4 linked regions of the Pelodiscus sinensis genome follow. The protein of the gene in region 1 purifies or fractionates together with the protein of each later gene. This does not show direct contact. Links are inferred from orthologs where the notes say so. Each region holds a gene or a part of one and is shown on either strand. Other genes may lie near its edges.

Region 1 (7,752 bases):
CAAAGGGGAGCCAAGAGGCAGAAAACACAGTTTTGTCCAGAGCACCAGAGCTAGCACCTTGACACCACCAAAATATGGTCCAGGACCTTCCCGTGCTGGGGGGCTGGTTTTCATACCTACATGACGAGACCAACCCTTCAGCAGCACAATCATTACGCCAGGAGGCGTCAATGATGCAGCACAGGGAGGGAAGAGGGTGGCTATTGATTTTGTAGCATCACTTCTTACAACACCCAAGAATTTTTCTTATGCGTCTCCCTTTTCCCATACTGCCCCGCCCCACGTGAGACAGGACACTCCACACAGTATGGTGCAGGATCTGACTCTAGAAACATTCCCCTTGCCCTTCTGCTACTTGACTGAAAAGGGAAACCGAGAGGAGGATACACCCATGAGAATCTTCTCCCACAACTCACTGATCGAAAAGACATTCTCCTCTTCTTTGGTGACTCTGCAGTGCTCCAACAGCAAAGCTCCAATTGGCTAGAAAGAAACCCACAGAGAAGGGTTAAGACACCCCTCCCCTTGTTCAGCCAGTTCTACACATGTGAGACATTGTGGCGGGAAAGGGAACACGGGGACTGACGTGGGGGCCGCAGTGAGTGACTCGTGAAAGAGAGAGACAACAGTGCCAAGAGGCTAGAGCAGAAACGACATTCCCTAAGCTATTTGAGTTCTTGTGCACTATCTTGCTAGTCACAGCTCTTTCACTGGTTCCCATGTATTGTTTGCTACAGTGGGTCTTTCACGGCAGCTCAAGAAGACAAAAATATTTTTAATGATAGGAAGATCCTGATAAGCCACAAACTACCAGGGGACGGACTTTAGGGCAGACGTCATAACCTGGCGAGAACTGAGAGGGTTGAAAACAGAGCGGTTTTTAGGTAGCCAATTTCTTTGTCTCTGCTGTCATACTTCACTGTACAAATATTTTGTGTTGATTAGTATTTACACAGTGCTTTGGACATCTGTATTTGCTCAGTACAACTCTGGAGAGTTAATAAATAGCTCAGTGATCTGCACAAAAAGAGGCAAAGGTGGTAAAAGTTCTCTAGAATCTAGTCTGCACATCAAGTTTGGCTGGAAGGCACAGCACAAACAGAAATCCAAACTTAGGTCTGGAAAAGAACATGCTTGAAGCTTTGCAGAAGTCTAATGAAATCTGTCCCTGCATTCGGTTTTTTTAAAACAGTTCATTTTAAACAAACAAATTTCACCTGCAGAATTTGCGAGTCATTTATGGGTGCACTGAGCTAAGGCATGAAAACCAGAGAAAGGGTTCTTTTCTTTGTCCGAAATGAACTGCAAGAGACAAACAAATAGAATAGAGACCACAGACTTTTTTTAAGAACAACTCAGTGTTAAGAGGTGTTATTTGACTAAGTATCCCGTCAGCACATACTATTCTAAGCTTCCAAACTATTTTTGGACCACTTACTGCTAAACACAAAGGGAAATATTTTATAGTCTCTAACTGCCAGGAAAATTAGCCAAAACAGCCAAACTCGTGTAAGCAGGAGTGGAGAGAAATCTGCTACTGGGAATGGTCTCTAGTCTCATGCGGTCAAAGCTCTAACATGATTTCATAATCACCCCAAAGAGACTGTGAAGTGTGGCATCTTCTTGGCCAGATCCTATGATCATGACTGTCAGAGGAGACAAGGAGGAGAGAAGAAATATTCTGCAAAGGGAGTGCAAGGATCCTTAGGGTCACATGTATTTCTGATCACTACAAACACCACCGAAAGCACCTTCTCTTCAAGTCTGTTAAATGGCGTAGCCACAGCAGTACCATGCCATGCTCATCCTGCATCTTCTGTCCAATCACAGTGCAAGTGAGTTTTATTGTTAAGGATGAGAAACAAAGGCCAAGACAGATCAAAAGTCTTTTCTGGAACCAGTGGGCTCCAGCTCGCATTCCTCTGCTACAACAACCAGACAATACGCTTGCATACTTATAGGTCCAAGTAAGGAATATTGATAAAATACAGCGATTACAATGCTTTGGGGGTTTTTTTTTACACTGCCAGATCTTGCTCAAAAGCAATGATACAGTTATTATTTACTGAGATTTAGCTAGGGCCTTAGTCTAAATTTAAAATCAATCTCACTAGTTTCACATAAATGAATTGCAGCCATGCGTGTAAGTGTGGCAATGATTAGGTTTCAGAGATCACCCCTAGACTGATAGCCAGGGCTGGGCAGGACAGCAGTTGCTTCTCAGCGTCGCCAAGCAGAGGCTTCATTGTGTTCCTCAAACACCACTAGCTAAACAGTGCAGTGTGACTACTTCACCGGTAAGTGTTTCAGGGCATGGACCATCTACGATTCTGTGATAGTACAGAGCTTAGCACAACGGCAGTCTGCTCTTGGTTGGTTTTTAGGCCCTTTGGTATAGAACCTGCCTTATTAATATGTTTTTCTACAACAGCTCTAACAAGTTCATAAAGCCAGTTTGCAGAAGCAAGTTATTTTTATACCTCTCCTTCATCTATGCGGAAGTAGAAGAGAAAGTTGACAACTAGCTTCACTAGGCGTTTCTTCAGCACTGCAAAGAAGAGAGACAGCATTCAGAAGCGGAGGTCTGTGGCAGTGTTCCCTGTTAGCTGAGTGCTTTGGAGTGATTCATACTCCGCCCAGCTGCTTAGCAGAGCATCCAGAGCTGTCAGCTTGGCTCTATCTACACTGGCGCGTTCTTATGCAAAAACTCTTCCAGAAGAGAGCGTCTACACTGGCATGTGCTTTTGCACAAGAGCATCCATGCCAGTGTAGATGCTCTCTTCCGCACGAAAGCTCTGAGAGCCATTTTAACTATAGGGCTTTCTTGCCCAGGAAATTCATGTTGCCTGTCTACACTGGCCTCTTCTGGAAGAGCTCTTGCGCAAGAGGGCTTATTCCTGAGCAGGAGCGTCAGAGTTCTGGCGCAAGCAGCCCTGATTTTATACATTAGAACATCAGTTTATTTGCGTAAGAACACGTGACCACTGTAGATAGGCAGCAAGTTTTTACGCAAGATCGTGCCTGTGTAGCCACAGCCCTTGTGTCTCGGCCTGGTAGTGCACATTGGTACATGCTTTGCTGCATACAAAATTTATTTTGCTTAAGGATAGAAAATATTAGAGGGAACATTCAGCTGTAGGATGGAAAACTGGACCTGTCGCACAAAGGAAGGTGCAGGCACCTTTCATTCTTACTGGTTCATAGCACTATGATTCTAGGCTGAACAGCAATTTGATGACCTCTCAAGCAACTCAATTCTATCCTAGGTGTGCCAGCCTTGGCTAAGCTTTCACTGATGACCTATAAAACTTTAACCACACATGCTTCTTGTAGCACCTCCTGGCTGGTACGATCCCAATGCAAATTCACAGGTATCCACATCCCTGAATATGGCTGCCGCTATCCATGTCTTGTTTTTGTGGATAGAAAGCTGCTTCAAACCCTGCAAGGTGGCAGCTCTCTGCGGCCGCAGCTGTGGTTGCAGATCTCCCACCATCTTTTTGCCAATACAGATACCAATTTTATATCTGCGTAGGGGTCTACCAGTGCATTGTACATGCCATCCCCCACCACAGGAAGGCAGCCACTTTGCGGACAAAGGGTGGTAGCTCAGTGCCATACACCACCTCACCAGCGCTGGGGAGGAGAATGCAGGAGTGGAGCTACCGCCTCTTTGAGAAAGTGCCAACGTGGTCCCTGCTCATCCCACAGGGAAGGGGACAGGGCAGGGAGCTCAACAGAGGCAGGACAAAGAGCCAGATTGAAGTTGGGGGGGGGGGGGGAATGGGGAAGGTGTGGGAGTAGCTGGCTCCTGAGTGGAAGAAGCTGAGCCTCATGCCCCACAATAGAACCCTCCCCCGGCCCTCCTGAGTGCCTGTACACCCCACCCCCACTCTATCCCCATACACCCTGCCCCACCCTAGCTCCTCCCACATATGCCCCGCCCCTGCCCCACCCCCACTCTATCCCCATACACCCTGCCCCACCCTAGCTCCTCCCACATATGCCCCACCCTAGCTCCTCCCACATATGCCCCGCCCCTGCCCCACCCTAGCTCCTCCCACATATGCCCCGCCCCTGCCCCACCCCCTCTCTATCCCCATACGCCCCGCCCCCGATCCACCCTAGCTCCTCCCACATATGCCCCGCCCCTCCCCCACCCCCACTCTATCCCCATACGCCCCGCCCCCGACCCACCCTAGCTCCTCCCACATATGCCCCGCCCCTCCCCCACCCCATACACCCGACCCACCCCGGCCCCATTCTATCCCCATACATCCTGCCCCCCCCACACGCTCCGACCCCTCCCCTCTCCAGTCCCACAAATACGCCCCGCCCCCTCCCCTCACACACCCCGCCTCCAGCCCCGCCCCCTGCCCTCATACGCCCCGCCCCCGCCGCCCCTCACCGCTGCCCTTCTTGGGCACGCGCATGAGAATCTCCGCCGCCTTCTCGGCCGGCTGCCGGGCCAGGGCCAGCAGCTCGCGCTCGTTGTAGCGCATGGCGAGGCCCCGCCCCCGCGCGCCCCTACAGCCGCCGCATCCCGCCGCGCGCGAGCCGCCAACCGCCGCTCCCCGCCCCCAACGCGGAAGCGCCCGGCCCGGAAGCCTTTCGTCGCGCGTGACCCTCCCATCCGGCGAACCGGAAATGCTTGGCCGCGCGGAAGCCGGAAGCGCCTCCTCCGCCCTGAGAGAGAGTTGCGCGTGCGCAGTCGCGGGCCGGCCTGAGGGGAGCCGCGAGCGCTGGTGAGGTGCGTGGCCGGGGGTGCCTTAGGCCTTGCTGGGTCGGAGTGGGGCTCCAGGCCTTGCTGGGCCGGAGGGGGGGTTGGAGTGGGGAGGAGGGCTCCAGGCCTTGCTGGGCCGGGGGCAGTTGGACTGGGGGGGGGGGCTCCAGGCCTTGCTGGGCCGGGGGGGGGGGGGGGGCTCCAGGCCTTGCTGGGCTCAGGTGGCGGGGTCAGGGGGGCTCTGAGGTTTCTTGCGGGGCGGGGATTATTCTGAGGGGCCGACGAGCCTGCAGTGCTGTGACAGCAGAGCCCAGTCCTGTGTTGGGGCTTAAGGACAGTAGAGTGTTAGTGCAAAGCTTGTTCCCTCATTGAACTGGAGAGGTGCCTGGGGTTTGGCAGAGTTTGGTTGTTCCGCAAGCAGGGCTCCGCAGGTGTCTGTTTTGGGACCGATTCTGTTACATGCCTTCGTCAACGATTTAGATATTGGCATAGCCAGGACGCTTATTATGTTTGCAGATGATACCAAGCTGGGAGGGGTTTCAGCTGCTTTGGAGGACAGGGTCATAACTGAAAATGATCTGGACGAACTAGAGAAATGGTCTGAGGAAAACGGGATGAAGTTGAATTAGGACAAATGCAAAGTGCTCCATTAGGAAGGAACAATCAGTTTCATACATGCAGAATGGGAAGCAACTGTTTAAGGATTAGTACTGCAGAAAGGAATCTAAGGGTCATAGTGGACAACAAGTTAAACATGAGTCAAAGTGTGACACTTGCAAAAAAAAACAAAAACAAACAAACATGAACAGGAGTGTTGAGAGCAAGACACAAGAATCATTCTTCCACTCTACTCTGCGCTGATTAGGCCTCAACTGGAGTATTGTGTCCAGTTCTGGGCACCGCATTTCAAGAAAGATGTGGAGAAATTGGAGAAGGTCCGGAGAAGAGCAAGAAAAATGATTAAAGGTCTAGAACATACAAGCTACGAGGGAAGATTGAAAGAATTAGGCTTGTTTAGTTTGGAAAAGGGAAGACTGAGAGGGGACATGATAGCAGTTTTCAGGTATCTAAAAGGGTGTTACAAGGAGGAGGAAGAAAAATTGTTCTCCTTGGCCTCTGAGGATAGGACAAGAAGCAATGGGCTTAAACTGCAGCAAGGGCGGTTTAGGTTGGACATAAGGAAAAACTTTCTACCTGTCAGGCTGGTTAAACACTGGAATAAATTGCCTGGGGAGGTTGTGGAATCTCCATCTCTGAAGATATTTAAGAGCAGGTTAGACAAACACCTGTTAGGGATGATCTAGATAGTGATTGGTCCTGCACTGAGGGCAGGAGACTGGACTTGATGAAGTCTTTTGAAGTCTCTTCCAGTTCTAGGATTCTATATGAGGTCACGTTAGCGTCTGACTTTCAGAGAGAATCAGCATCCCTTCCCCACGCCCACAGCAGCCTCTGCCCCCAGTCCAGCCTCTGTCTTGAAAATGCCACTCAGGACTTGTGACTGTTCTCCGAAGCATGAGGTAGCACCTGATGCAGCTTCCAGACATGGCTTCCGGGAACAGATCTGAGCATCCCACGTAGAGGCAGTGCCATGTTTTGAAAATCCTAGATAGCTCTGTGCTTTTAACATGTCTGTGGCCACTTACACAGCTCGAAAATAAGCATCTTCATTGGTGCAATGTGAACAGTAAACTGCTATTAGTTATGACTGTTACGTTATAGTGCAGTTGTTCCCTGAGGCCCCTCTCACAACCAGTGCTTTGGCCCTTCAAGCAGCACCTCTGTACAGACACTTCTGAAGACGTGGTTTCTGCCCAACTTGCTTATAGTTGATGTCCGGTATTTTTCTGTTTATTATGATTATTAATTAATTCTTATATCATTTGTTGTTTTTTGTATAAAATATTTTACGAGGCAGTTCAAGATACAGAACTTACAGCAAATAATTGGTGACTTGTATTGGGTAAATGAAAGGTTAACCAGTAAGCATCACTGGGGTGAAGTGTAGCATCTTACTTTTTCCAGGTGGATCACCCGTCTGCAGCGGACCCAGGGAGTGCCACAGGCAAGGGCTGTGTTAGCCCAGCCAGAGAAGCCCCTGCCTGCATTGGGGTGCTGTTCCAGCCCGCTGCACTCCCTTTATGTGCTTATCCAGTTAAACATAATGTTTAACTGGTTAACCAATTAAATGGGATTTTACATCCCTAATTTATAATTGAATTTCAAATGGCGTTACCTGTCCAACTTCTACAACATAGATCTGGACCATAGACGTGCCCACTAATTGACTGTTAACTTTCAAATATTGTTACCTCAATTGTGAGTGTATTAAATATCCCAGGCAAAAATGCATAATCTTGTAATAGAGAAAAATATGTGAAAGTAGCCAGGAAAATGAAATCACCTGTGAAACTGCCAAAGGCCGTGGTCAAACCATTGTGTTCGGTACGGTAGTGCTGTTTCTGTGAAAGTGCTGAATGTGATCCTGTATCCCTGCCTCTGCATAGTAACCAGTGTGCTTCTTGTGAGACTCGGTCTATTGCCATGAGAGATAGGATGCTGGCTACAGAAGAAATTAGGGCACAAAACTTGGGGGGTGGGTCAGGTGAGAGATGCCCAGTTAGCATATATTTGGAAATTTGGTAGCAGGAGAATTGATTACTACCTTATTCAAAATCTGCTCTGGAATCTATACTTTGAAGATGACAGAAGAGAAAGTGACTCTGTTGAATTTCAACACTTAACTGCTTCCATTAGGCCATCTCTACAATCAGTTTGCTAATGAGTGACATAGAGCAACCTTTAAATCAGCAAAAACTACGAGGACTCCTGTGGTACCTTAAAGATGCCTCATGGTTTTTGCTAAACAGACTAACATGGCTACCCTTCTGAAACTTGAAAACAGTGGCTCTCAACCTTCCAGACTATTGTATCTCTTTCAGGAATCTGATTTATCCTGCAAACCCCCACCTTCACTTCACTTAAAGTTACTTATAAAATCAAATATAAAAAATGCAAATGTCACAATA
Region 2 (8,186 bases), on another chromosome or scaffold:
CCCTGGCTGCTGTTTCCAACCCCATGTGGGCTGGGTGTTGGCAGTCACGTGTGGGACTGGTAGTAACCAGGCTGGAGCAACCCGTGGCTGCACCACAAGGTGGTGTCATGCTTGAAATAAAAGGCATTATCAGTCACTCCGAGCACAAACTGCAAAGAAACAGGGAAGCAAAATACACAGATGAACAACGAGCCAGCCACAGGGTGAAGCAAGCTTCAAAACAAGACCGATCTGTGACATTGGCAATAAATGGACAAAACATGAATGTGACCCCCTCCCTGATGTTTGGCTTAAGCTTCCTTCCTTCCTTTTCTCTCCCAGGTGCTTGTTGTTGCCAGCATTTGGAGCAGCTTCTCCTCTCTCCTTGAGTGGGTCACGTCTTGGGTCTTTTCTTGGCACTTGTCGCCTCAACTCAGGGTGACTCCTCACTGTGTCAGGTACAAAGGGGTGCTGTCCCTTGAGGGATGTTAAATTTCGATTAATTGGCTAATCGAATAGTCGATGGAATTTCCATTGACTACTTGATTAGTCAATAAGGGGGGCACTTGCTATCCTGCTGCACCTCTGCCTTTGAAATGTACAAGAGCCACTGCAGGCTCTTGTACATTTCAAAGGATGAGGCGCAGCAGTCGGGACCCCAGGTGAGTGGAGACTGCTTCAGGCCCTGCTCACACCATTTCCACCACTGCGCCTCTGCCTCCCCGCCCTCCCCCCCTCCATCCCCGCAGAGACGGTGCTGGGGGGAACCAGCTTGTAAGTCTATAAATTCGTAACTGGTAGGGAAAAAGTGAATAAGGCAAAGTTATTTACTTGTACCCACAATATAAGAATTAGGGGTCACCATATGACATTAATAAGTAGCAGGTTTAAAACAAACAAAAGGAAGTTTTTCTTCACTCAGCGCACGGTTGGCCTGTGGAACTCCTTGCCAGAGGAGGTTGTGAAGACCAGGACTTTAACAGGGTCCAAGAAAGAACTAGATAAATTCATGGAGGTTAGGTCCATCAATGGATATTAGCCAGGATGGATAGGAATGGTGTCCCTAGCCTCTGTCAGAGGCTGGGAATGGTTACAGGAGAGGGATTACTTGAAGATTCCCTGTTCTGTTCACTCCCTCTGGGGCATCAGGCATTGGCCAGTTTCGGCAGACAGGATACTGAGCTAGATGGACCTTTGGTCTGACTCAGTATGGCCGGTCTTATGTTCTTATGTAATACCCCAATGTAATTTGATACTGTTTCATATAACACATACCTGAGACATGCTCCAGTGCTCATCTGAGTTACTGGGAAGTTTCCAGTTGAGTTCAGTGGGTTTTGGATTAGGCCCAAAATAAGACCACGTGGCAAAGTTACAGAACCATGTCGGAGTAAGGCCAAAACCTACTCTATATAGTTTGAAATAGTGTAACAGGTGTTCCTATGTGTGCTTGTGTTGAAAAATAGATTGAAGAACTTACTAGATGCTGTTTAAAAGAAAACCTGCTGATAGCACAAACAAGGATGGGTTCATGTATTCTATATTGTGAAGACAGGGGTAGATTAACCAGTGGAATAATGGGGCCTGTGCCCAGTTGCCTTGGTCAGTTGGAGGACCCCTGGAAAAATGGGCACCCACCCACCCACCTGGCGTTCCTGCTGGGGAACAGGGTTGAGGTACAGGGGCTTCCAAGTACAGGTGGAAGACGCCCCCACTTGTTCTGATCCATGACCCCACAATCCACCCCTGTACAAAGATATTCTGGGCATAGTTTCTCTCCCTCAGTACTCAAAGAATTCTTCTCAAATGAGTTTGAAGAAGCTACGACATTTAGTATGTCTTCATTTTTCAAGCATCCCTAAGATGAGTTGGGGGATATTATATTACAATAAAATATTATTTTAAAAAACCCAAGAGAAAACAAGGAACAGAATTTATTTTGTTTTTATTCATTCCAGTGACTTAAAAATATGGTTTTGTTCCCTTTTCAAAGACTGAAGCTATTTTCCTCTCATTAGCTGGCCTGAGAAGTCAAAGCTGGAGGCAGGGGCAGATGACTGTTTTGCGGGGCCCCGGGCAGCATAATTCCGCGGGGCCCCCCCTTTGCCACAGCGCATGCGCGGGGCTTTCTGAAGCGCGGGGCCTGGGGCGGCTGCCCCGTTCGCCCTGCCCTATATCCATCCCTGGCTGGAGGCAGACATTGTACATCTTTTTTGGACACCTTTTTCATCCCAGGGAGTTTTTGAGATAATATTGTGCAAGGTATATTTGTGATCCCAATGAGTTTTGCACCACGCATTTATTAAACTGGGTGGAAGCTTGTAACGAATCCACCTTTAGCAAGCACCACCACACCAGTGCAAGACAAATCACACATACCAGTTCAGCTGAACAAGGCTCAAGGTCTTCTCCAAAAACACAGACCTGTCTATTCAAGGACATCTCCCCTTGCTAGCTGTAAAAGTAAGGCCCTTGTCCTTCCTGTGGGCCAGCCACTAACAGATGACATAACACCCATGTGCTTTACATGCACAAAAAGCTTGATTCCCCCCACACTGCTGGTGCAGAATATTGCACAAGGTGAAAAAGGAAGAGTAGGATAAGGAGCACAGGGAATCACTTCTGTATCATTGTGTTGCTGCTGAGATCACCAAGCTACTCCTGCCTCCCAGATCTGCAAACTGAAACCCAGGGCATCTGCCATGGGGCGTAACTAAGGGTGTAGTTTGGTCAGTCTCAAGGAAGTCTGCATCAGAGGGTGAAATGCAGTTTTTCCTTCACAGCACGGCAGCCTCCTCCTGCCCCGCCACTTTTGCTAGTATTCCAATGGATTAGCTATGTGTGTGGGAGAGGGATGGCTCTAGGAATTGATTGCAGAGCACTGGGGGCTTGGAAATGGAGACAGCAGCAAGATTCCCACACATGAGAATCCTAGTGGAAGGGCCCCAGAGTTGCTAGCTTAGCTGCTCAGTGGCTCTTTTAGGTAGCCAGTTTGCCAGTGGGTAGATACAAAAATCAGGATCAAACAACCAACAGGGCCTGGAAAAAAAGGGATGTTTGCAGTACAGGCGACTCTCATATTTACAACCTAATTGGTTCCTGGCGAACCATCGTAAGTTGAGCTGTTGTAAGTCGAACCCTTATTTCCCAGAGGCACAATGATATAAATGGGGGGGGGGGTCCGTTCCTGGCCCGCTTTGCCTCCTGGGAGTTGTAGTCCCCAGCACGCCAGGCCCAGAGACAGCCAGGGGTTGTGCCAAGTGGAGGTGGCTCCACGTGTCCCAGAGCCAGTGCCAAGGACTATGTTGGGTGGAGGCAGCACGGTGCGAGCTGCTCCTAGAGCCAGCTGGGGGCTATGCTGTGTGGAGACAGCACTGTGCAAGCTTGCAAGCTGCTCCCAGAGCTGTCCGGGTGGAGGCGGCTTCACGTGTCCTGGAGCCAGTGGCGTGGTGTGAGTTGTGCCCAGTGCCCGTCAGGGCTGTGGGCAACTGGCTGACTCTGTGGCTCACTGTGCAGGAGCAGGGCTGGAGCAGGGCAGTCGTCTATGCGAGGTGTCCTGAGTCGGGAGGTCGTACATTAGGGGTCACCTGTATTGTCCATTTCAAGGGATCAAAAATCATGGTCTGTCCAGGGCTCAGCAGCACTTCCCCAGGCCCCCACTCAAGCTACATCTACACTGCAACGCTATTTTGGGATAGCGGAGTATCCCAAAATAGCTATTCCGCATCTTCACAGAAAGCCTGGTATGTTCATAGGCTCACTATTCTGACGTTCCTATAAACCTCTTTCTACCAGGAGTAAGGGACGTTTCGGAATCATGCTGTATTCTGAAATAGCATGGAAATAAGATATGCATTTTGCGTAGCTCAAATTGCGTATCTTATTTTGAGTTACGGTGCCATGTAGATACAACCTCACCGCCCTAAGCCTGGGCAGCACTTCCCTGACACTCCTTGTCTTCTGCTGCCCTGGAGGAGCTTCTTGTGTCACTGTGAAAGCAGGTTCCAGGATTTTTGAACCAGTCATATCCTAGGACCTGGAGTCACGCTGGCAAGGCCTGTATGACAATGGGTGAGGCACAGTCCTGGGCTACGCGTAAACTGGCATGATTTTCCGCAAATGCTTTTAACGGAAAAGTTTTCCATTAAAAGCATTTGCGGAAAAGCGCGTCTAGATTGCAACGGACACTTTTCCAAAAAAGCACTTTTTGCGGAAAAGCGTCCGTGCCAATCTAGACGCACTTTTCTGCAAAAAAGCCCCGATCGCCATTTTCACGATGAGGGCTTTTTTGCGCAAAACAAATCTGAGCTGTCTACACTGCCCTTTTGCGCAAAAGCTTTGTGCAAAAGCACTTTTGCCCGAACGGGAGCAGCATAGTATTTTTGCAAGAAGCACTGATTTCAGACAGTAGGAAGTCAGTGTTCTTGCGGAAATTCAAGTGGCCAGTGTAGACAGCTTTTTGCGGAAAAACTTGCCAGTCTAGACACAGCCCTGGGTTACGTCTTCATTGGCACCCTTTTCCGGAAAAGGGATGCTAATGAGACACTCCGGAATTGCAAATTCTGCAGGGATTTAAATATCCCCCGTGGCATTTGCATGAACATGGCTGCTGCTTTTTTCCAGCTCGGGGTTTTGCCGGAGAAAAGCACCAGTCTAGACGCGATAGTGTGGAAAATAAACCCTTTTCCAGAAGATCCCTTATTCCTACTTGAAAGGATGCCAACGTAGACAGCCCTGGTGTTTAATATGTTGAAGGTTTGGGAAGCCTCTTTGTAATTAAACTCCTAGTCACAACTGTACTGTTAATTACTCTGAGCCTATGGTTCCTCTTCTCTCTCCCGCTCATAGATCTTCTCCTGCAGGAACATGATTAGAGAGACAAACTGGGGGACTTAATATCTTTATTGGGACCAACTTCTGGGGGTTTCCCTTCTGCAGGGCAAGCTCAGGGAGCTGACGCTAGGGGTCAGCAGCGGGCCGGTGCCTGTGGCGGCGCTCTCTATGGTCTTGCTACGTCATTGGTGGAACACCGCCCCTGACGTACGACGCTTGCGCAGGACAGCGCTTCGGGTCGCTCCTCCCCGTTTCCCGCGCTGCTTCTGCGGAGCTCTCGCGGCGCTGCGTAGCCGGCAGCTTTCACGTTACGGAGTTTGCGTAGCTCCCCCCTCCCCTCCCCCAATGACCTGTGGTGCGGCGTTTACGCAGTTTGCGTACAAGGTTCGCGCAGCGGAGGAGTTCGGCGGCGCCGGGCGCCACACGGCCGTTCCCTGCCTCTTCAGCGGCGGCTCGCTGGCGGGGTGAGCGGGGCCCGGCGCCCACCGCGGACCAAGCGCCAGGCCGCGGCCGGAGGCCCCAAGCCGGGGGTGGGGGCAGGGCCTGAACTTGACTGGCGGGAACCCTGGGGGCTGGGCCAGCTCGTGGGGGGAGGGGAGCGGAGGTGGGGGGGCAGCCGGGGGGGAGGGGAAGCAGCTCTCGGGGGGGGAGCTGGGGGGGAGCGGAGGTGGGGGGGCAGCCGGGGGGGAGGGGAAGCAGCTCTCGGGGGGGAGCCGGGGGGGGGAGCGGAGTTGGGGGGGCAGCCGGGGGGGAGGGGAAGCAGCTCTCGGGGGGGGGAGCTGGGGGGGAGTGGAGGTGGGGGGGCAGCCGGGGGGGAGGGGAAGCAGCTCTCGGGGGGGAGCCGGGGGGGGGGAGCGGAGTTGGGGGGGCAGCCAGGGGGGAGGGGAAGCAGCTTTCGGGGGGAGCAGCTCGCAGGGGGAGGGGAGCCGGGGGGGAGCGGAGATGGGGGGGCAGCCGGGGGGGAGGGGAAGCAGCTCTCGGGGGGGGGGAGCCGGGGGGGAGCAATGGGGAGGCTGGGCCAGCTCGTGGAGGGGGGGGTTCATGGGGGACTGGGCCAGTTTGGGGGGGGGGGGTTATAGGGTGGCAGGGCCAACTTGTGTGCTGCTGGGGGTAGGATGGGAGGTTCATGGGGGCAGGGCCAGTTTAGGGGCTGCTGGGGATGTGGTGCGAGGCTCATGGGGTCGGGACCATCCTCAGGGCTGCTTGGGATTGATGGCGGGTGAGGGGGGATGACATGGGATACTTCGGGGTTATGGGGTAGTTTAGGAGGGTTGTGGGGTGGCTCCACTCGTGGGTTGTTGGGTAAATGAGGAGGGTTATGGGGGACTGGGCTTTTGATTGTGGGGAGGCACTGGGCCCTGGCAGCTGGGGGATGGGTAGGCTACTTATGAAGCTTAGAAGGGATCCGGGGATGTCAGGCTTGAAGGGCTGCTCTGCCAGCCACTTCCAGGGCCAGGCCTGTTCTGGGGATACTGGGGATGGCTGGATCTATTCAGGTGGGGTGCTTGGCTGCTGTTCTGGCAGTGACAGCTTGTGGTCCAGGGCTGCAGGAGTGGAACTGAATGCCATTGTCACTGTGGATTCAAGCCACAGACTAGGGCAGTGGCACCCAATCTTTTCGAGGACCCAGACCACTTTTCAATCTATTAAAAATTTACGGACCCCTCCCCCCCCCCCAAACAATATATCTGTGCCTGCATGTCCTTCAGCCCATGCTCCTTCCTGAGTGGCGTCCCTGAGCCCACTGGGGAAGCTGTGTGGGTTGTAGGACGTACTGTCTGTGAGGAGTTCCATGCAGACCCCTTACAGTATCGCTGTGAACCCCCCGGGGTCTGCAGACCACAGGTTGGGAACCACTGGGTTAGGGTATTGATTCAGCTCTGTATAATTCATGCACCTTAATGCAAAGCCTTCAGTGACCAAGGCCTTGTGAGCTTTGTTCAGATACTAGTGCCTGTGTCCCTCATCAGAACTGGAATTTGTCACTCTTGCTGTCCCACCACTCGTGTTCTCACTACTGGTGTTACGTGTTGCAGAGCCCGTAGGCAAGGGTCATCGCTGGTTCTGTTTACACATGGACTAATGATCCTGATGGTGGCTTTTGGGGGCTACTGCAGTATAATCAACAATGAGGGGTTCCAGTGGCATCTTAAAGCCTAACGTCTATTTGGGTATAAGCTTTTGTGGGCAAGGGCATATAGGAAGTTATTTATGCCCAAATAAACTGTTAGTCTTTAAGGTGCCACAGGCCTCATTTTGTTTTTGCAGATATAGGCTAATAGCTACCCTTCTGATACTTGCAGTACAATGAGTAACACTAGCCTCAGTGGACAAAACTTCCTTCTATTTTTATGTAGTATTCCCTACTAGGGATGTTAAGGACTAGTTGACTGTCCAATAAGCAAATGCTTTTTGGATAGTTAGTCAACTCATTGATTTCCCCCTCTTCCTGCCTCTATCAGATAGCTGAGGCGGCGTTCAAAGGGGCAGTGCTGCATAGCTGAGCCCAGGATCGGCTGTGCGCTGTATTGTGTGAAGCCTGGGATCAGCTGGGGACTCCCCAGCTGATCCCGGGTTCTCAGGAAATGCTGTGTGGAACCTGCAGTCAGCTAGGGAGTCCCCAGCTGCATGGCATTTCAAATTGGTAGTACAGCATGGAGCCCGGGGTCAGACTCCAGGCTCCATGCTGCACTGCCAATTTGAAAGGCACAAGAGCCCCCCACTGGGGACTCTTGTACATTTCAAAGCTGGCATAGCCTGGAGTCAGCGTGACTTCCCGCTGTCTCCAGGCTGCATGAGGATTTCCGCATTCCTCCTTTGAAATGTAGAAGAGCCCCAGCGGGGGCTCTTGTACATTTCAGAGGAGGAATGCAGAAGTGCCTATCGACAATTCCATCAACTATTCGACTAGTCAATTAATCGTTACTTAACATCCTTATTCTCTACCCCAGTTGACCTGCCTCTGAAATCAGTTTTGTATGTGTAGTGAAATTTGGTACATCATCTTTGATTTACTGTATAACGTCTAGTTTATATATTTCAAAGGGCTTGCTACTTCTAGTGAGCTGTGTAACAATATCACCATGGCTAAGAGTCCCAGTCTGTTTGATCAGATTGCTAGGAGCAATTGATCAGAATTAACATGAAGCTAAGTATGTTGGGTGATAGTCCTGACTATAAATCAATGAAGTTAATATGTTTTTGCTCACATTCTTACTTTGGAGGAGTGATACTATGATCACAATGGTGGTAAGGCTCATCCATGGCACTGCTAGTGTACTGATCCATGCAGTTTTCCCACATGTGGGAAACTTGACTGCATAATTCATGGTAGTGGTGAACTGTGTTCATACTTTCCCCTGACTGTTTTAGAG
Region 3 (7,778 bases), on another chromosome or scaffold:
ATACAAGATAGGGACTGTAGGTTTGTTCTTAAGTTGAATTTGTATGTAAGTCGGAACTGGCGTCCAGATTCAGCCGCAGCTGAAACCAACCAGCGGCTGACGACAGGAAGCTCGAGGCAGAGTTGCTCTGCCCTGGGCTTCCTGGAGTCAGCCGCTGATCAGTTTCAACAGCGGCTGAATTTGGACGCCTGGGACAGAGCAGCTGGGGTGCTGCCGGGTAGGTCCCCGCAGCGCCGCACCTCAGCGCTGCGGGGACCAACCCAGCAGGACCCCAGCTGCTCTACCCCAGGTGTCCCCAAGTCAGCCGCTGCTGATACTGATCAGCGGCTGATTCCAGGAAGCCGGGGCAGAGCAACTCTGCCTCTGGCTTCCTGTAGTCAGCCGCTGGTCAGTTTCAGCAGCGGCTGACTTGGGGACGCCTGGGGCAGAGCAGCTGGGGTGCTGCCGGTTTGGTCCAGTAGCGCCGAGGAGCGGCGCTGCGGGACCAACCTGGCAGCACCCCAGCTGCTCTACCCTAGGCGTCGTCGGCAAGAAAAGCCTGGTCTTGCAGGGGGAGGTGCACTAGCTGCGCCCCCCCCAGCAGACCAGGGAGACGCGGGTAGCGGGACCGCCGAGACGCACCGCGGTCCCGCCCGCATCCTCCGCGGCTTTGCTCCGCGTCTCCCTGGTCTGCTGTGGGGGGGCTCCCTGTTTAACTATATACAACATGAGTGTGTCGAACAAAAAAGTCCAAAAGCAAGATAAATATATGATGCAATGTGTAATCCAGAATTTAAAGCCTACCTGCTATTTTTGAAATATGTTTTGGATTACATGAACAAATTCAATGCTCTCTTTCAAAGCAAATCTCCACTCATTCATTGCATTAAACCAGAGTCAGTGAAACTTTTCAAAGTACAGGCAGTCCCCGACTTATGTCGGATCCGACTTATGTCGGATCCACAGTTACGAACGGGGCTTTTCTCACCCCGGAGGACGGGAGCGGCGGGACGCCCAGATGCGCCGCGGTCCCGCCGCTCGCGTCCTCCGGGGCGAGAAAAGCTGCTCCGCGTCTCCCTGGTGTGCTGGTTTAGTGCAATGAATGAGTGGAGATTTGCTTTGAAAGAGAGCATTGAATTTGTTCATGTAATCCAAAACATATTTCAAAAATAGCAGGTAGGCTTTAAATTCTGGATTACACATTGCATCATAAATTTCTCTTGCTTTTGGACTTTTTTGATCGACACACTCAAGTTGTATACAGGCAGTCCCCGGGTTACGTACAAGATAGGGACTGTAGGTTTGTTCTTAAGCTAAATCTGTATGTAAGTCGGAACTGGAGTCCAGATTCAGCCGCTGCTGAAACTGACCGCCAGTTCTGACTGACATACAGATTCAACTTAAGAACCCCAAGTCAGTTGCTGCTGAAACTGATCAGCCGCTGATTCCAGGAAGCCCAGGGCAGAGCAACTGTGCCTCGGGCTTCCTGTAGTCAGCGCTGGTCAGTTTCAGCAGCGGCTGACTTGGGGACGCCTGGGGCAGAGCAGCTTGGGTGCTGCTGGGTTGCTCCAGTAGCGCCGCTCCTTGGCGCTACTGGACCAACCCAGCAGCACCCCAGCTGCTCTGCCCCAGGCGTCCTGATTCAGCCGCTGCTGAAACTGACCAGCAGCGGCTGAATCAGGACGCCTCGGGCAGAGCAGCTGGGGTGCTGCCGGGTTGGTCCAGTAGTGCCCAGAGCGACGCTGCGGGACCAACCGGCAGCGCCCCAGCTGCTCTGGCCCCAGGGTCCACAACAAAAGCCTGGTCTGCTGGGGGGGGGCACACTAGCTGCGCCCCCCCCCCCCCCCAGCAGACCAGGGACACGGGGAGCAAAGCCGCAGCGGCGGGGTTCCTCGCCTCTGAGGCTTTGCTCTGGCGCGGGACCCGCCGCTGCTGCGGCTTTGCTACCGGTGCCCCTGGTCTGTTGGAGACGGTCCCCAGCAGACCAGGGGCACCAGGAGCAGCTTTTCTTGCCCTGGAGGTCGAGGTGGCGGACCACTGCCTGCGAGCTCCGGGGCGAGAAAGCCCCGTTCGTAAGTGCGGATCCGACATAAGTCGGATCCGCGTAAGTCGGAGACTGCCTGTATAGTTAAACAGGGCATCCCACAACACTAATATTCTATATACACAAGAGTGTACAGCTAACCACCTTGTATAACTTGGTTTTAACATAGATAAACATACCTTTCATTATTAAGAACATACCTAGAAACAGCTCTACTATGTCAGACCAAAACTCCATTAGCACAGTATCCTGTCTTCTGATAGTGGCCAATACCAGGTGCCCCCAAAGGAAATGAAAAGAACAGATGATCATCAAGTGATCCCTCTCTCATTTCCCATTCCTAGCTTCTGGCAAAGACTAGGGAGCTATTGATGGACCTATCCTCCATTATTTTATCTAGGTCTTTTTTGAACCCTGTTATAATCTTTTCACAACATCCTCTGGCAAGGAGTTTCATAGGTTGGCTGTGCATTATGTAAAGAAGTATTCCCTTTTGTTTTAAAGCTGCTATTATTTTAATTTGGTAACCCTTAGTTCTTCTGCAAATAGTTGTTTAATTCCCTTTTTCCATACTAGTCGGCTACGTCTACACTGGCCCCTTTTCCGGAAGGGGCATGTAAATTTCACCAGTCGTCATAGGGAAATCCGCGGGGGATTTAAATATCCCCCGCGGCATTTAAATAAAAATGTCCGCCGCTTTTTTCCGGCTTTTAAAAAAGCCGGAAAAGAGCGTCTACACTGGCCCCGATCCTCCGGAAAAGGGCACTTTTTCCGGAGGATCGGGGCCAGTCTAGACGCTCTTTTCCGGCTTTTTTAAAAGCCGGAAAAAAGCGGCGGACATTTTTATTTAAATGCCGCGGGGGATATTTAAATCCCCCGCGGATTTCCCTACGACGACTCGTGAAATTTACATGCCCCTTCCGGAAGAGGGGCCAGTGTAGACGTAGCCGTCATGTTTTTATAGACCTCTATCATATCCCCCCCGTCATCTTTTTTTCCAAGCTGAAAAGTCAGTCTAATTAATCTCTCCTTGTATAGAAGATGTTACATACCCCTAATAATTTTTTTGCCCTTTTCTGAACTTTTTCCAATGCCAAGATACCTTTTGGGAGATGAGGTGACCATCTCTGCCTGCAGTATTCAAGATGTGGGTGTACCATGAATATGTATAGCAGCAATAAAATACTGTCTTATTCTCTATCCCTTTCTTAATGATTCCTAACATTTTGGTTGCTTTTTTGACTGCTTTTTTCACTGGGTGGATGTTTTCAGAAACTTAATAACCTTATTAACAAAGATTCATAGCAAAGCAACCCATAACAGTATCACCATCCCACAAAGATTTCACATCTCTCCCCAGGTGAGGTTTCCACCCCAATCAGCTCCTGGTTCCTGAAGAACAAAGAACAAGCGGCCCCTGCACATGTGGAAAAGGAGGCTACATGGCCAGACCAGGGATCCCATGCGATAGAGGCAGTCCCTCAGGGAGAGGGAGGCACTGTGCAGTGGTGGGGCACTGGGTGGCTGATAGAAAGTAAGTGACCATGCAGGCACTGAGCATGAGCAAGTGCCTGTCCTGTCTGGGAGCCATGCTGGGCTCAGGGACTACCCAGAAACAAGAGCGCCCATGCAGGAGGGGATGTGCATGCCGCTGCCCCTTTAAGCGCAATTAGTGAGAGCTGCTGCCTGGGCGAGAGGAAGGGGTGTTGGCTCCAAGAGGGGTGAATTTATGAGGTGCCAACCCATGGGTGGGCAGTGACAGAAACCACATGCCACTAGAAGCTGGCCCCAGCCAGCAAAGCTCCAGTGCAGCCGCCTATGCGCTCTGCGCGGGGGGAGATAGGGAGGAGGCTGCTGCTGCGGCGGCGTTGCACAAGGAGCAGTGACAGTGCATGGACTCGGTCAATTCTTTCCGCAAGCTGGTATCCCCATCAAGTAGTGAAATATCCAGCAGGGCTTTTTGGGACATTTCACTACTTGATGGGGACACAGAGACAGAGTATTTAAAATCAGGACAGTGTCAGAAAATCCGGGACGTATGATCAGTGTATACATCCAGCACTCCCACTAAAACACCACAGCATGGTATCAGCATTTTTCAAAGCATTACAGGAACTTGCTCTTGTTCACCCAGGCCCTTTCCTGACTGTTCTTCCACACCTGGTTGCTGTTTGTGTCCAAATGGGATTCTCTACAGGCCCCTATGCAGGAATTTCTGTGGGGGTGTATGCTTTGTTTGTAAATGTGGGCCACAAGGGTGTGGATATGCCCCCGTGTTTCCCAAGTAAGCGGGGAAATCAGCTCCAGCCTTCCCTTGGCTAGCCAGAGCATGGGGCAGCAACCCGCTGCTGCCTTCCTCTGGCCAGCCAGAGCATGCTTCTATGGGGTACCTGCTTTTTGCACCCTTCGCACCCTCCCCCCCCCGCATAGGGGCCTGCTCTAGGGCACTGCCCCACCAACTGGCGTGACAGCGCTGGCTCAGAGCCTTTGGGAAGAAGGGCAGGGGATGGCCGAGGCACAACAGCATCTGGGCAAGGACCAGAAACACGAAAATCACCCGGGGAAGAGCCTGGGCCGGCAGGAGGCCTCCTGTTGGCCCTGACGGAAGCGGTTCGGACGTGCTGCACCTAAGCCCGGCCCACAACTCTATGCAGTGAGTGAGACACGTGGGGCAACACGGGGACCGCTCGGCCTTCCACTCCCGACCTGGTAAGGCGGCGGCGCAGGCGTGCTAGAGGAAGGAACGCGCGAGGGAGAAGAGCTCATCGATGATTGGGCGCGCGATATATCGATTGTGCGAGAGATCGACTCTTGTCGTCTGCGTGTTCGGATGAGGTCACGCCAGCGCGCGGCTTGGTGCGGCGCTGAGACCGGTGGGAGCAGGGTGAGGGACTGGCCGCTGCGGCCCCGGGGCACCCAGCAGCGCTAAGCCCGCTGGGGGGCGGGGGAGCTCGCCTGGGTTCGCTTGGGGCTGGCCCCTAATGCCCATGGGCTGCGGGGGGGGGCCGTTGCAGCGGTGGGGGCGCTGGGTGGCTGAAGGAGGCCGCTGTTGGGGAGGGTGTCGGGGGCTGCGGTTGGCTTTGTGGGGGGGGGGGGGAGGGTGATGTGAGGGCCTCGCTGTTTACACGACGAGTTTGAACACGACGGAGCGTTATTGCTGAGGGGCAGTCCAGGGATTACGGGACATCTCTTGTCCACACGCAGCTTGGTGCTTTCTCGGCGGCTCCTCCCTCCCAGGAGATGGCCCTTTGTGGGCACATGGCCGTGTGTGGCTTTAGAGGGGTAGCAGCCCTGTTAGTCGGTAACGCTGAAAACAGCGAGTAGTCCCTCGCTCCCAAATATATATGGTATCCTGAGCTTTCATGGGCAAAACCCGCTTCGTGCCCACGGAAGCTCTTGATGCTATACGTATTTTTATTAGTCTTTAAGGGCTACTTGTTTTTCATATATGGTTTTAAAACCCCCATGTGATAGAAAGGGCTTCCTTTTTGCTGTGGAGCGAGGCAGTTCTGATACCATTTTATATAGCCTGATGTTGGCAACAGGTATTTGATCTAAACTAACAAAAACTCAATCTGTTATTAAGAATTCATCCTCATAAATGGAAAGTATTTTAATAGATTGTGCTTGTTTTTCTAGGCTGTTGTGTAAGCAAGTTAGAAGATGGATATCAGACCAAACCATACTGTTTACATCAATAATATCAATGACAAAATTAAAAAAGAAGGTATGGTTAAATTAAAGTTTGTATTTTTTTATCAGCATGTTGTGAAAACTCAGTAAAAGTATGGTATTCTGTCTTCAAGAGATATAGTCTAGACCAGCGTTTTCCAAAGTGTGGTCCACGGCCCAGTACCAGTCCTTAGGAAAAATTATTGCACACAATCTTATTAATTTGTGTGACGGGTAGCAGCACTCTGCACTGCCGAGTGAGGCGGCGTGGCCCTCTTGGGAGAGACCCACCGCCGTGGTATCTGCTGGGCATGCTCCCGGGCGGTGGGGCTAGATCTGACAGGTGCTAGGACCCAGGGAGAAAGCCGGGCACACCGATGCGGAATGCCAGACGCAGCCGGGGAAGCCGGCACCGGCCAATGAAGCAGCTGAGATTGGGGCCGGAGGGGGCGGAACAATCTGCCGGGTACACCGAGTCAGAATACCCGGCACCGGATGCAGCTGAGGGAGCCGGTGCCAGTCGATTAAAGTGGCTGTGATTGGGGCCGGAGCGGTGGAACAACCTACCGGACAGGTAGGGCCAGTGACACAATTTATTTGCATATTCATCATTTGCTTAATGAATATGCAAATATGTTACCAGTCCTCCAAAAGCTTGTGAATGGGTTTACTGGTCCCCAGTAGCAAAAAGATTGGGAACCACTGGTCTAGACATAAAACGTAGGCGTGTTTGTGGTATGGCTAGCCCAATGGAATCCCAATTACAGATGTTAGCCTATAGATGTGTAAACGATTAAGTCTAGGTTTATCAGTTCATCCAAATGACTACATGCAGCACCCCCTCCCTGCATCCAATCAAAGTGCTACTATGATTCAGTCAGGTACACCTCACAAATTATAACTAAGAACAGTTAAAAAAACTACCCTATCCAGAGAGATCATCTTAGTGGGCCACAAGATTGTTGTAACTGACATGGAGGACCACTCATGCAGCCCATTTGCTAGACTAGATGCCCATTGGTGACCTAACCACTATCTGCTCTTAGCATCAACTAGTCTTGTTTGGGCCTGCTGTTGCTCAGCTTTCTGAACTCAGAAGCTTCTGGTAGTACAAGCACTAACTTCCAGTGCCGCTGCAATCCTCTCCCTCGCCTCTATCAAGGCCTTGGTCCCACTGTACATGAGGATTGGTGGCCACCATATCCAAGTCCTTGGAATATTACCACAAATTAGACACTGCAGGGAAGTCAGGAGGACTGCAGGCCAAATCTAGACTGCCAGATGCTTTTGAACAGACCCATATATCCTATTGGGTATTTTTTTAATGTCTGGAATCTGAACCTCAGCTATATCTTGACCAAGAAATTTGGACCTTGACAAAAAATAATTTCCTGCCTCAGTCTAGCCTCTTAACCACTGCATACTCACAAAATTACAGAGCCTGCTGTACCTCAGGGAACAGAATTATACACCAGCTTGTAAAATTCAACAGAGCACCATTATCATGTTTAACTCCACAGCCTTAGATCAGTTGTACTGGTGACCCCTATCATAGAGCAAGCTTCTGTGTGTGCACCTCCCTCCTTATAAATTAAAAATACTTTTAAAAATATTTAATACTATTCTAAATGCTGGAGGCATAACTGGGTTTGGGAGTGGAGATTGAGAGGTCACGACTACCAGTTTGAGATCTCTTGCCCTGGATATAATGAAAACAAGAATAAATATCAGAGAACAAATTTGAGTAATAGTAAACATATTGGAAATGGTTACTTATAAAACAAAATCATGATTTTTTTTCTAGAGATTAAGCTAAGAGTTATTCTTATCTAAAGAAACTGATGTTATCCAGGATTCTCCAGCATTTTTAGCTAAGCATACTTGACACCTGTATTTCATAGAACAAGAATGTTGTTCGTTTTCGTGCTCAGTGAAGGATGCATTGGTGTCTTTTCTGCCCCAACAATAAAGCATCCCTTTGTGTTTCTCTTCCTTTTAGTTTTTCTGAAATTTCTCACTTTCCTTCATTTGTATTCAGTAGTATTGTGGCCATCTCTGTCCCAGGAAAAACGAGGGGAGTGAA
Region 4 (8,073 bases), on another chromosome or scaffold:
ACATAGCAAACATGCATCCACACATTGTGTTTATAACCTAGTGCATGCACAGCATTTCAAGATAAGGATACTGCTCTATGCTAGCTCTGTAACAATCCCAAGAGAACTGGGGGTCACGTGGAACCATAAGGCCAGATTCTCTGAGCTAAGCATAAACTGATCCGTGCAAAGTGCCCTTAGCACCTGGCTTGGTCAGGACATTAATGATGAATGGAGGGTGATTTGTCTACTCAGGAATTTGTAAAATCCTTGTTTGCATGATGTGCCCGATGGGAAAGCTGGCCCACCATTATACAACTGCGGCTGAAACCATCTCGGCTTTGAGATCAATAACAGTGAAGCTCTGTCTTCCGGAAAGAGGTTGCCTTTTCAACTTTCCCAGAACTATCGTGACAGGGGCAGAGTAAGGGGGATCTGGATTCCTTGCTTAATAATTGCATTGAACTTTCACTCCGCATTTCTCTTGGTCTCTTTTTGTTTTAACATCCTTGAAAGTCAATATACAGTATACATTACTGAACGTCGGAATGCACCCAGACTTCTACTCTGGACCTCTGAGATCAGACACCCATTCTGTGTGCCCCTGGCACCTGTGGATGTGCTGTTTAAGCATTGGGTTCCAGTGCTATATTTACTCCTATGCATTTGAGCTTCACTTTGTCTTGCAGTTCAGTGGATGGTGAGGGGAACAGGGTGGAACGGCATGGCAGTGTGTTGTGCAGCACTGAGCAATCTGGCCAGAGGACAAGATGCAGGGTACAGTCATGTGGGCTGTGTGTGGTGTGTCCCTCTGTGCATGAATAAATAGATCACACACACCCTGCCTTCCCCTCCCAGCACACACCCAAAAAGTCTGGCACCCCATAACATGCATCCATACACATCTAAACATACAACCTTCCCCTATATACATACATACACACACAGGGTATGTCTACACTACAAAGTTAATTCGAACTAACAGATGTTAGTTCGAATTAACTTTGATAGGCGCTACACTAGCGCTCCGCTAGTTTGAACTTAATTGGAACTAGTGGAGCACTTAGTTCGAACTAGGTAAACCTCATTCTACGAGGACTAAGCCTAGTTCGAACTTACTAGTTTGAATTAAGGGCTGTGTAGACCCTTAATTCGAACTAGTGGGAGGCTAGCCCTCCCCAGCTTTCCCTGGTGGCCACTGTGGCCAACACCAGGGAAACTCGTATGCCCCCCTCCCGGCCCCGGACCCATTAAAGGGGCACGGGCTGGCTACGGTGCCCGTGCCAGGTGCAAGCCTGCCAGCACCAAGCCAGCAGACCCTGCACCTGGCACGGCTCGAGCCAGCCACCCGATGCCCCCCAGCCCTCCCCCTCTTCCCGGGACCAGGCTGGCGGCTCCCGGGAGCTTGCCCGGGACCGCAAGTGGCGGGCACCCGCCTGGTCTAGTGCGGACATCATGGACCTCGTCCACGACCTCCGCACTAGGCACAGAAAAGTGCCCGTCTAGGGCAGGAGAGCTGCCAGCCTGGCCACCCAGTAGCAGGTTTGCATGAAAATCAAGGTTGTCCACTGAGACCCCCGACCCTGAGCCCTGAGCTTACAATGGCCGTACTGGGTCAGACCAAAGGTCCATCTAGCCCACTAGCCTGTCTGCCGACAACGGCCAACCCTAGGGACCCTGGAGGGGATGGACCAAAGACAGTGACCAAGCCATTTGTCTCGTGCCATCCCTCTCCAGCCTTCCACAAACAGAGGCCAGGGACAGCACTCCTACCCCCTGGCTAATACCACTCCATGGACCCAACCTCCATGACTTGATCTCACTTCTCTTTAAACTCTGTTCTAGTTCTAGCCTTCACAGCCTCCTGCAGCAAGGAGTTCCACAGGTTGACTCTTTGCTTTGTGAAGAACAACTTTCTGTTACTAGTTTGAAGCCTGCTACCCATTCCTTTCCTTTGGTGTCCTCTAGTCCTTCTATTATGGGAACTAATGAAGAACTTTTCTTGATGCACCCTCTCCACCCCACTCATGCTTTTAGAGACCTCTATCCTATCCCCCCTCAGTCTCCTCTTTTCTAAACTGAAAAGTCCTAGTCTTTTTAGCCTCTCTTCATATGGGACCTGTTCCAAATCTCTGATCATTTTAGTTGCCCTCCCCTTTCCCACCCTCTCTCTTCCCCTCTCCCACCTCCTTTTCCCAGTCTCCCCGAGTTTTGTTCAATAAAGAGAGATTCTATTTTTGACCACACGTTTTCTTTATTTTGTACATCAGGAAGGGGGGCTAGGGAAGGGTAAGTGGAAAGAGGTGAGGGAGGAATGGGGTACGAGCCCCCAATGGGGAGGACTGGGCTGGCTCTGCGGGCTTCTGGGGGTGGAACCTCTCCCCAGAAGTGCAGCCGGTATGATGGCCGAGTGCTGTGATGTGCCCAGTGTGGGTACTCCGGGCACTCCAAGCCAGGACTGCTTTGCAAGCAGGGCACCCCTGAGAACTGTCTGTCCAGGGTAGGGGTCAGGTCCCTTTAAGCACAGCCCTCGGCTAGCCTGAGGCAGCAGCTCCACGCTCTAAGTCCTCATCTGATGCCCTGCCGGCACTGCTTCCAGCCATCCTTAACCCCGGTTCAGGGTCCACTTAATGTGGACATGCTAGTTCGAATTAGCAAAACGCTAATTCAAACTAGTTTTTTAGTCTGGATCCGTTAGTTCGAATTAGTGCTGTAGTGTAGACATACCCACAGAGACATACAACCTACAATTTGATTAGCTTCTAAGATGAGGTAACTGGCTCTGTGGATATGGAAAGGTCAGTGGATGTGATATACCTTGACTTTAGCAAAGCTTTTGATACGGCCTCCCACAATATTCTTGCCAGTAAATTAAGGGATTATGGATTGGATAAATGGACTGTAAAATGGATAGAAAGCTGGTTAGACTGTCGGGCTCAATGGGTAGTGATCAACGGCTCGATGTCAGGTTGGCAGTTGGTTTCTAGCGGCGTGCCCCAACGATCTGTTCTAGGACTGGTTTTGTTCAACATCTTTATTAATGATCTGGATGAGGGGATGGATTGCACCCTCAGCAAGTTTGCAGATGACACTAAGCTAGGGGGAGAGGTAGATATGCTGAAGGGTAGGGATAGGGTCCAAAGTGACCTAGACAGATTAGAGGATTAGGCCAAAAAAAAAAAATCTGATGAGGTTCAACAAGGACAAGTGTAGAGTCCTGCATTTGGGACGGAAGAATCCCAAGCCTTGTTACAGGCTGAGGACCGACTGGCTAAGTAGCAGTTCAGCCGAAAAGGACCTGGGGTTACAGTGGATGAGAAGCTGGATATGAGTCAACAGGGGGCCCTTGTAGCCAAGAGGGCTAATGGCATATTGGGGTGCATTAGGAGGAGCATTGCCAGCAGATCCAGAGAAGTGATTATTCCCCTTTATTCAGCTCTGGTGAGGCCACATCTGGAGTATTTCGTCCTGTTCTGGACCCCCAACTATAGAAAGGATGTGGACACATTGGAGAGGGTTCAGCAGAGGGCAACCAAAATGATGAGGGGGCTGGAGCACATGACCTACGAGGGGAGACTGAGGGACTTGGGTTTGTTTAGTCTGCAGAAGCGAAGCGTGAGGGGGGATTTGAGAGCAGCCTGCAACTACCCGAAGGGAGGTTCCAAAGAGGATGGAGAGAGGCTGTTCTCAGTGGGGGCAGAACGAGGAGCAATGGGCTCAAGTTGCAATGGGGGAGTCTAGGTTGGAGATTAGAAGAAACTCTTTCCCTAGGCGGGTGGGGAAGCGCTGGGATGGGTTCCCTAGGGCGGGGGCAGAGTCTCCATCTCTAGAGGTGTTTCAGTCCAGGCTTAGCGGAGCCCTGGCTGGGCTGATGGAGTTGGGGTTGGTCCTGCCTTGGGCAGGGGACTGGACTCCAGAGGGCTCTGCCCGCCCTGGGACTCTATCACACACACACACACACACACACACACACACACACACACACACACACCCCTTTCACACACACACACACACACCCCTTTCACACAGACACACACACACACACACACACACCCCTTTCACACACACACACACACACACCCCTCTTTCACACCCACCCCTTTCTCACACACACACACTCTCTCTCTCTCTCACACACACACACACCCCTTTCACACACACACACACCCCTTTCACACACACACACACACACCCACCCCTTTCACACACACACACACACACCCACCCCTTTCACACACACCCACCCCTTTCTCACACACACACACTCTCTCTCTCTCACACACACACACACACCCCTTTCACACACACACACACCCCTTTCACACAGACACACACACACACACCCCTTTCACACAGACACACACACACACACACACACCTTTCACACACACACACACACACCTTTCACACACACACACACACACACACACACCTTTCACACACACACACACACCCCTCTTTCACACCCACCCCTTTCTCACACACACACACTCTCTCTCTCTCTCTCACACACACCCCTTTCACACACACACACACACACCCCTTTCACACACACACACACACACCCCTTTCTCTCTCTCTTTCACACACACACACACACCCCTTTCACACACACACACACCCCTTTCACACACACACACACACACACACACCCCTTTCACACACACACACACCCCTTTCACACACACACACACACACACCCCTTTCACACAGACACACACACACACCCCTTTCTCACACACACACACCCCTTTCACACACACACACACACACACCCCTTTCACACAGACACACACACACACCCCTTTCTCACACACACACCCCTCTTTCACACCCACCCCTTTCTCACACACACACACTCTCTCTCTCACACACACACACACCTTTCACACACACACACACACCCCTTTCTCTCTCTCTTTCACACACACACAGACAGACACACCCCTGCTACCCCCCCCCGCGCGACACGCAGCCGCGGCCCCTTTAAGGCCGGCCGGGCGGGCGGGGGCGCCCCGCCGCGAGAGGCTGTCGCGTACCGATGATGTCACACAATGGCCGCCCCGCGCCGCCGCCGCGCGTAGAGGCCCCGTCCCGCGCCGCGAGCCGGAGCCGCCTCCCCCACCCGCCTCGGAGGCGCCGCCGCCCCCTCCCCCGCCCCGCGCGAGCCGCCCGCCCCCGCCCAGGTGAGCAGCCGGCGGGCGGGGGGGGGCTCCAGGGAGGGGCTGGGCCCTTGGCGCGGGGCGGGCCCCACATGGGGGCCCCGCTGGGGGGAGGGGTGTGGCTCGGGGGGGCCCTTCCCCCGGGGGTGGAGCAGCACCGGGTGGGATGCGGCCCCTCCCCGGGGGGGCTGGAGGGGGACGCCCTCTGGGGTGAACGTGCTGGAGCCCCCCCCCCCCCGAAGCGAGGGGAGCAGACTGGCCTGCCCCTGGCTGGGGCTGTTGTGGGCTGAGCCCGGGGGGGGGGGGTCTGCGCTGCCTGCCCCCGGTAGATCCATGGGGGATCATGGGCTATTTAAACTGCACAGCTCGTGCGGGTTCTGATAGGTGCAGGGAGCGAGGGGGGGGAGACCTTTCAGGACAGTCCGGGGAACACGCTTGGAAACGCAGGTGCCGCGCTCTGGGCTTTTAATGGATAATGTTCTGCATCCGAACCGGTGCGTGCTTGGTTTTTTTGTCACTGCTATTGAAATTGCATATGGGGATTTGTTATAGGATGGGTTTTGCATATTAGGAACATGTGTGTTGTATTTCTGAACTCAGAAATTAGATGCGCTAACCCTTTTGCTTAGAAAAGTAGTCTTTGCAATACATCCACACCCTGCTAGGTTGTTTCATAAGAACTGCCAGACTGGGTCATACCTAAGGTCCAGCTAACCCAGTATCTTGTCTTCTGCCAGTGGCCAATGCCTGGTGCTCCAGAGGAAATGAACAGAACAGGTAATCATCAAGTGAATGCAGTCACATATACCAAGACCTAGAGTGTGAATTCTTTCTCCTGATTCTCATGGGGTTTGTCTGGAGTAAGGAAGAGATCTTAACCTCTTCCAATCATAAACTCTTACTACCTATCTTGTTCAATTTATTTTAACAGAATTTAACTCTAAAATCTAATTATTAATGTGAATGTGCTTCATAAGCTTAATGAATTCATTTATTCTCTGTAGCTAACCTGATGTCCAATAGTTCAAAATGGGAATTCCACAGGTTCAGTACTAGAAAAGCTTTCCATGGCCCAAGAATAGGTAGAAGTAGACTAGAAGAGACCTCGAACAATTCTTTCAGCAGCCAGGAAGCTAGCTCTCCCATAACCTCCGAGCTCCAGTGGGGAGGGATGTCTTCTAACTGTTTCTTGCTCAACTTCCATTTTATGAGGAAGGTTCCTGCTCTCTTGAGTTTTCCTCTGCTGCTCAGAGCTTTCTGACATCTCCAGTATCAAATTGACCTATCTCACTGATTGCTCATGAAATTCCAGCTTTGAGATTGCCAATACCCTGGGCAGTTTCTGCTTTGCTGTAGTTTGGACAGCTCTTTGCAGTTGCAGAGATACTAGAGCTGAGGAAGACATTACTTTAAGGGCTTACACTTTGTTCATATTGGAAAGGTTTTCTTTTCAGTCATAATGGTTAAGCACCCTCCCTCCCCCTCCCCCTTTTTTTTTATAATGAAAGGTTGGGTTCTGTGGAAATTATTTACATTTGCCCAAGAAAGCTTTTCTGTTAGTCCTGGGAGACTGTATTTTTCAAACCTTTGTTTAAATAGATATTTGTGTATCTAGGACACAACTATTTTCAGCATGGTTACAGAAAGCATTCTGATGGCAGCAAGTTGCTGTTTTCAGCACCAGGTCAGTGGACTTGCTGCAAACAGATTGTTTTCTGCAATTGGTCAGTTTCTTGTTGCAGACAGAGCTTAACTTTCTGTAGATTTAATTGAATGTACTACTTAAACACTTGTACCTGTTAACTAGTTTCTGTGAAATACTCGTCAAATAGTGGGATTTTCCTTCTGTAGAAAGAGTTCTAGAGACAGATTTGGATTAACACCCTATTTTAAGACAGCTTGTCCAAAGAAGAAACACAAATCTCTGTCTTTAAAACATCTTTGTTATAACTGGATTCTGCCCTTCGAGTCATGTGCACAGCTCCTGTTGATTCCACTAGGATTTGCCTAGAGTAAGAGAGGACTGAATTTAGCCCTATTTCCTGTAAAAAGTATTGTCAAGGCCCCTGAGCCCAGAATGCTAACTCACTTTAAATTCCAGTGCTTTTATTTTCACTCTAGACTCTTTCTCTTAATTTGCTGTTAACTCCATACAATGATGTCAATAGTGTTAGTCGGAATCCAACCTTTGTGTTGGGTGTATCTGTCAAGATGTCCTGCAGTAACTGAAGAGCATGAGTAGCAACCTTAGGGCAGACTGTTTAAAAAAGCAGGGCACAAACCACAGATTGCATGAGAGTCCTATACTTAGTTTTCCTCAACCATTTATTAAGTATAAGCTTCTCACGCATCATAACAGCCTACTTGTGAAGTCACAGACAGTACTCTGATCTAACTCTCTATCCAGGTAAGCTTCCCATTGTGAATAGTCCCTTGCATTAAAAATCAAAACAAAATGTAGTATTGTATGCAGGTCCCAAGATATTAGAGGTAAGGTCGGTGTGATAATATCTTTTATTGGACTCAACTTCTGTTGATCAAAGACAAGCTGACCTCTGAAGCTCGACAGCTTGTCTGTCTGACCAACTGAAGCTGATCCAGTAAAAGTTATTACCCGTACCCCTTTGACAGTGTTACTTTAACAGGCGGCAGAAGTTGAGCGTGGTCTTTAGCACAGGACCAGAAGTTTAGATTTCCTGAGTTCTAATCTAGGCTCTGTTGCCTTGTGGAAGTTGGAGAGATTACCGGGTTAAAAATCATTTTTTAAAAAGAACATCCTTATGTTAGCAACAGTACTTTACTTTAATAAAGTGGGGGGAAATGTAAAATCTCTTCACTAGTTAAGCTGTTTTTTCTTATGGCATTGGTTTCCATTTCTAACTACTTTCATTGTGGAATTTCTCATGTCTAGCTCCAGTGCTATGTTTAACAT

What was found.
Region 2: the proteins of SF3A2 (region 1) and RBM17 purify together in Homo sapiens (affinity purification with mass spectrometry; 4 studies listed by BioGRID and IntAct, counting the BioPlex papers as one, with this or other methods). This does not show direct contact. The link is inferred for Pelodiscus sinensis from reciprocal best matches to the Homo sapiens genes SF3A2 and RBM17.
Region 3: the proteins of SF3A2 (region 1) and SNRPB2 purify together in Homo sapiens (affinity purification with mass spectrometry; 6 studies listed by BioGRID and IntAct, with this or other methods). This does not show direct contact. The link is inferred for Pelodiscus sinensis from reciprocal best matches to the Homo sapiens genes SF3A2 and SNRPB2.
Region 4: the proteins of SF3A2 (region 1) and ZC3H18 purify together in Homo sapiens (affinity purification with mass spectrometry; 3 studies listed by BioGRID and IntAct, with this or other methods). This does not show direct contact. The link is inferred for Pelodiscus sinensis from reciprocal best matches to the Homo sapiens genes SF3A2 and ZC3H18.

Annotation. Positions count from the first base shown.
Region 1 is NC_134729.1:27,235,348-27,243,099, reverse strand, and holds the start of SF3A2 (splicing factor 3A subunit 2), read left to right. Parts: upstream 1-4,593; 5' UTR 4,594-4,750; intron 4,751-7,752. Other genes in the region: PLEKHJ1 (pleckstrin homology domain-containing family J member 1), read right to left, coding at 417-483, 2,481-2,548, 4,409-4,502. UniProt on the Homo sapiens protein: Component of the 17S U2 SnRNP complex of the spliceosome, a large ribonucleoprotein complex that removes introns from transcribed pre-mRNAs.
Region 2 is NC_134711.1:8,475,155-8,483,340, forward strand, and holds the start of RBM17 (splicing factor 45), read left to right. Parts: upstream 1-5,070; 5' UTR 5,071-5,157; coding exon 5,158-5,276; exon of another isoform or gene 5,277-5,342; intron 5,343-8,186. UniProt on the Homo sapiens protein: Splice factor that binds to the single-stranded 3'AG at the exon/intron border and promotes its utilization in the second catalytic step. Involved in the regulation of alternative splicing and the utilization of cryptic splice sites.
Region 3 is NC_134713.1:180,790,688-180,798,465, forward strand, and holds the start of SNRPB2 (U2 small nuclear ribonucleoprotein B''), read left to right. Parts: upstream 1-4,764; 5' UTR 4,765-4,907; intron 4,908-5,142; exon of another isoform or gene 5,143-5,568; intron 5,569-5,662; 5' UTR 5,663-5,686; coding exon 5,687-5,750; intron 5,751-7,778. UniProt on the Homo sapiens protein: Involved in pre-mRNA splicing as component of the spliceosome. Associated with sn-RNP U2, where it contributes to the binding of stem loop IV of U2 snRNA.
Region 4 is NC_134722.1:3,918,924-3,926,996, reverse strand, and holds the start of ZC3H18 (zinc finger CCCH domain-containing protein 18), read left to right. Parts: upstream 1-5,036; 5' UTR 5,037-5,165; intron 5,166-5,518; exon of another isoform or gene 5,519-5,635; intron 5,636-8,073.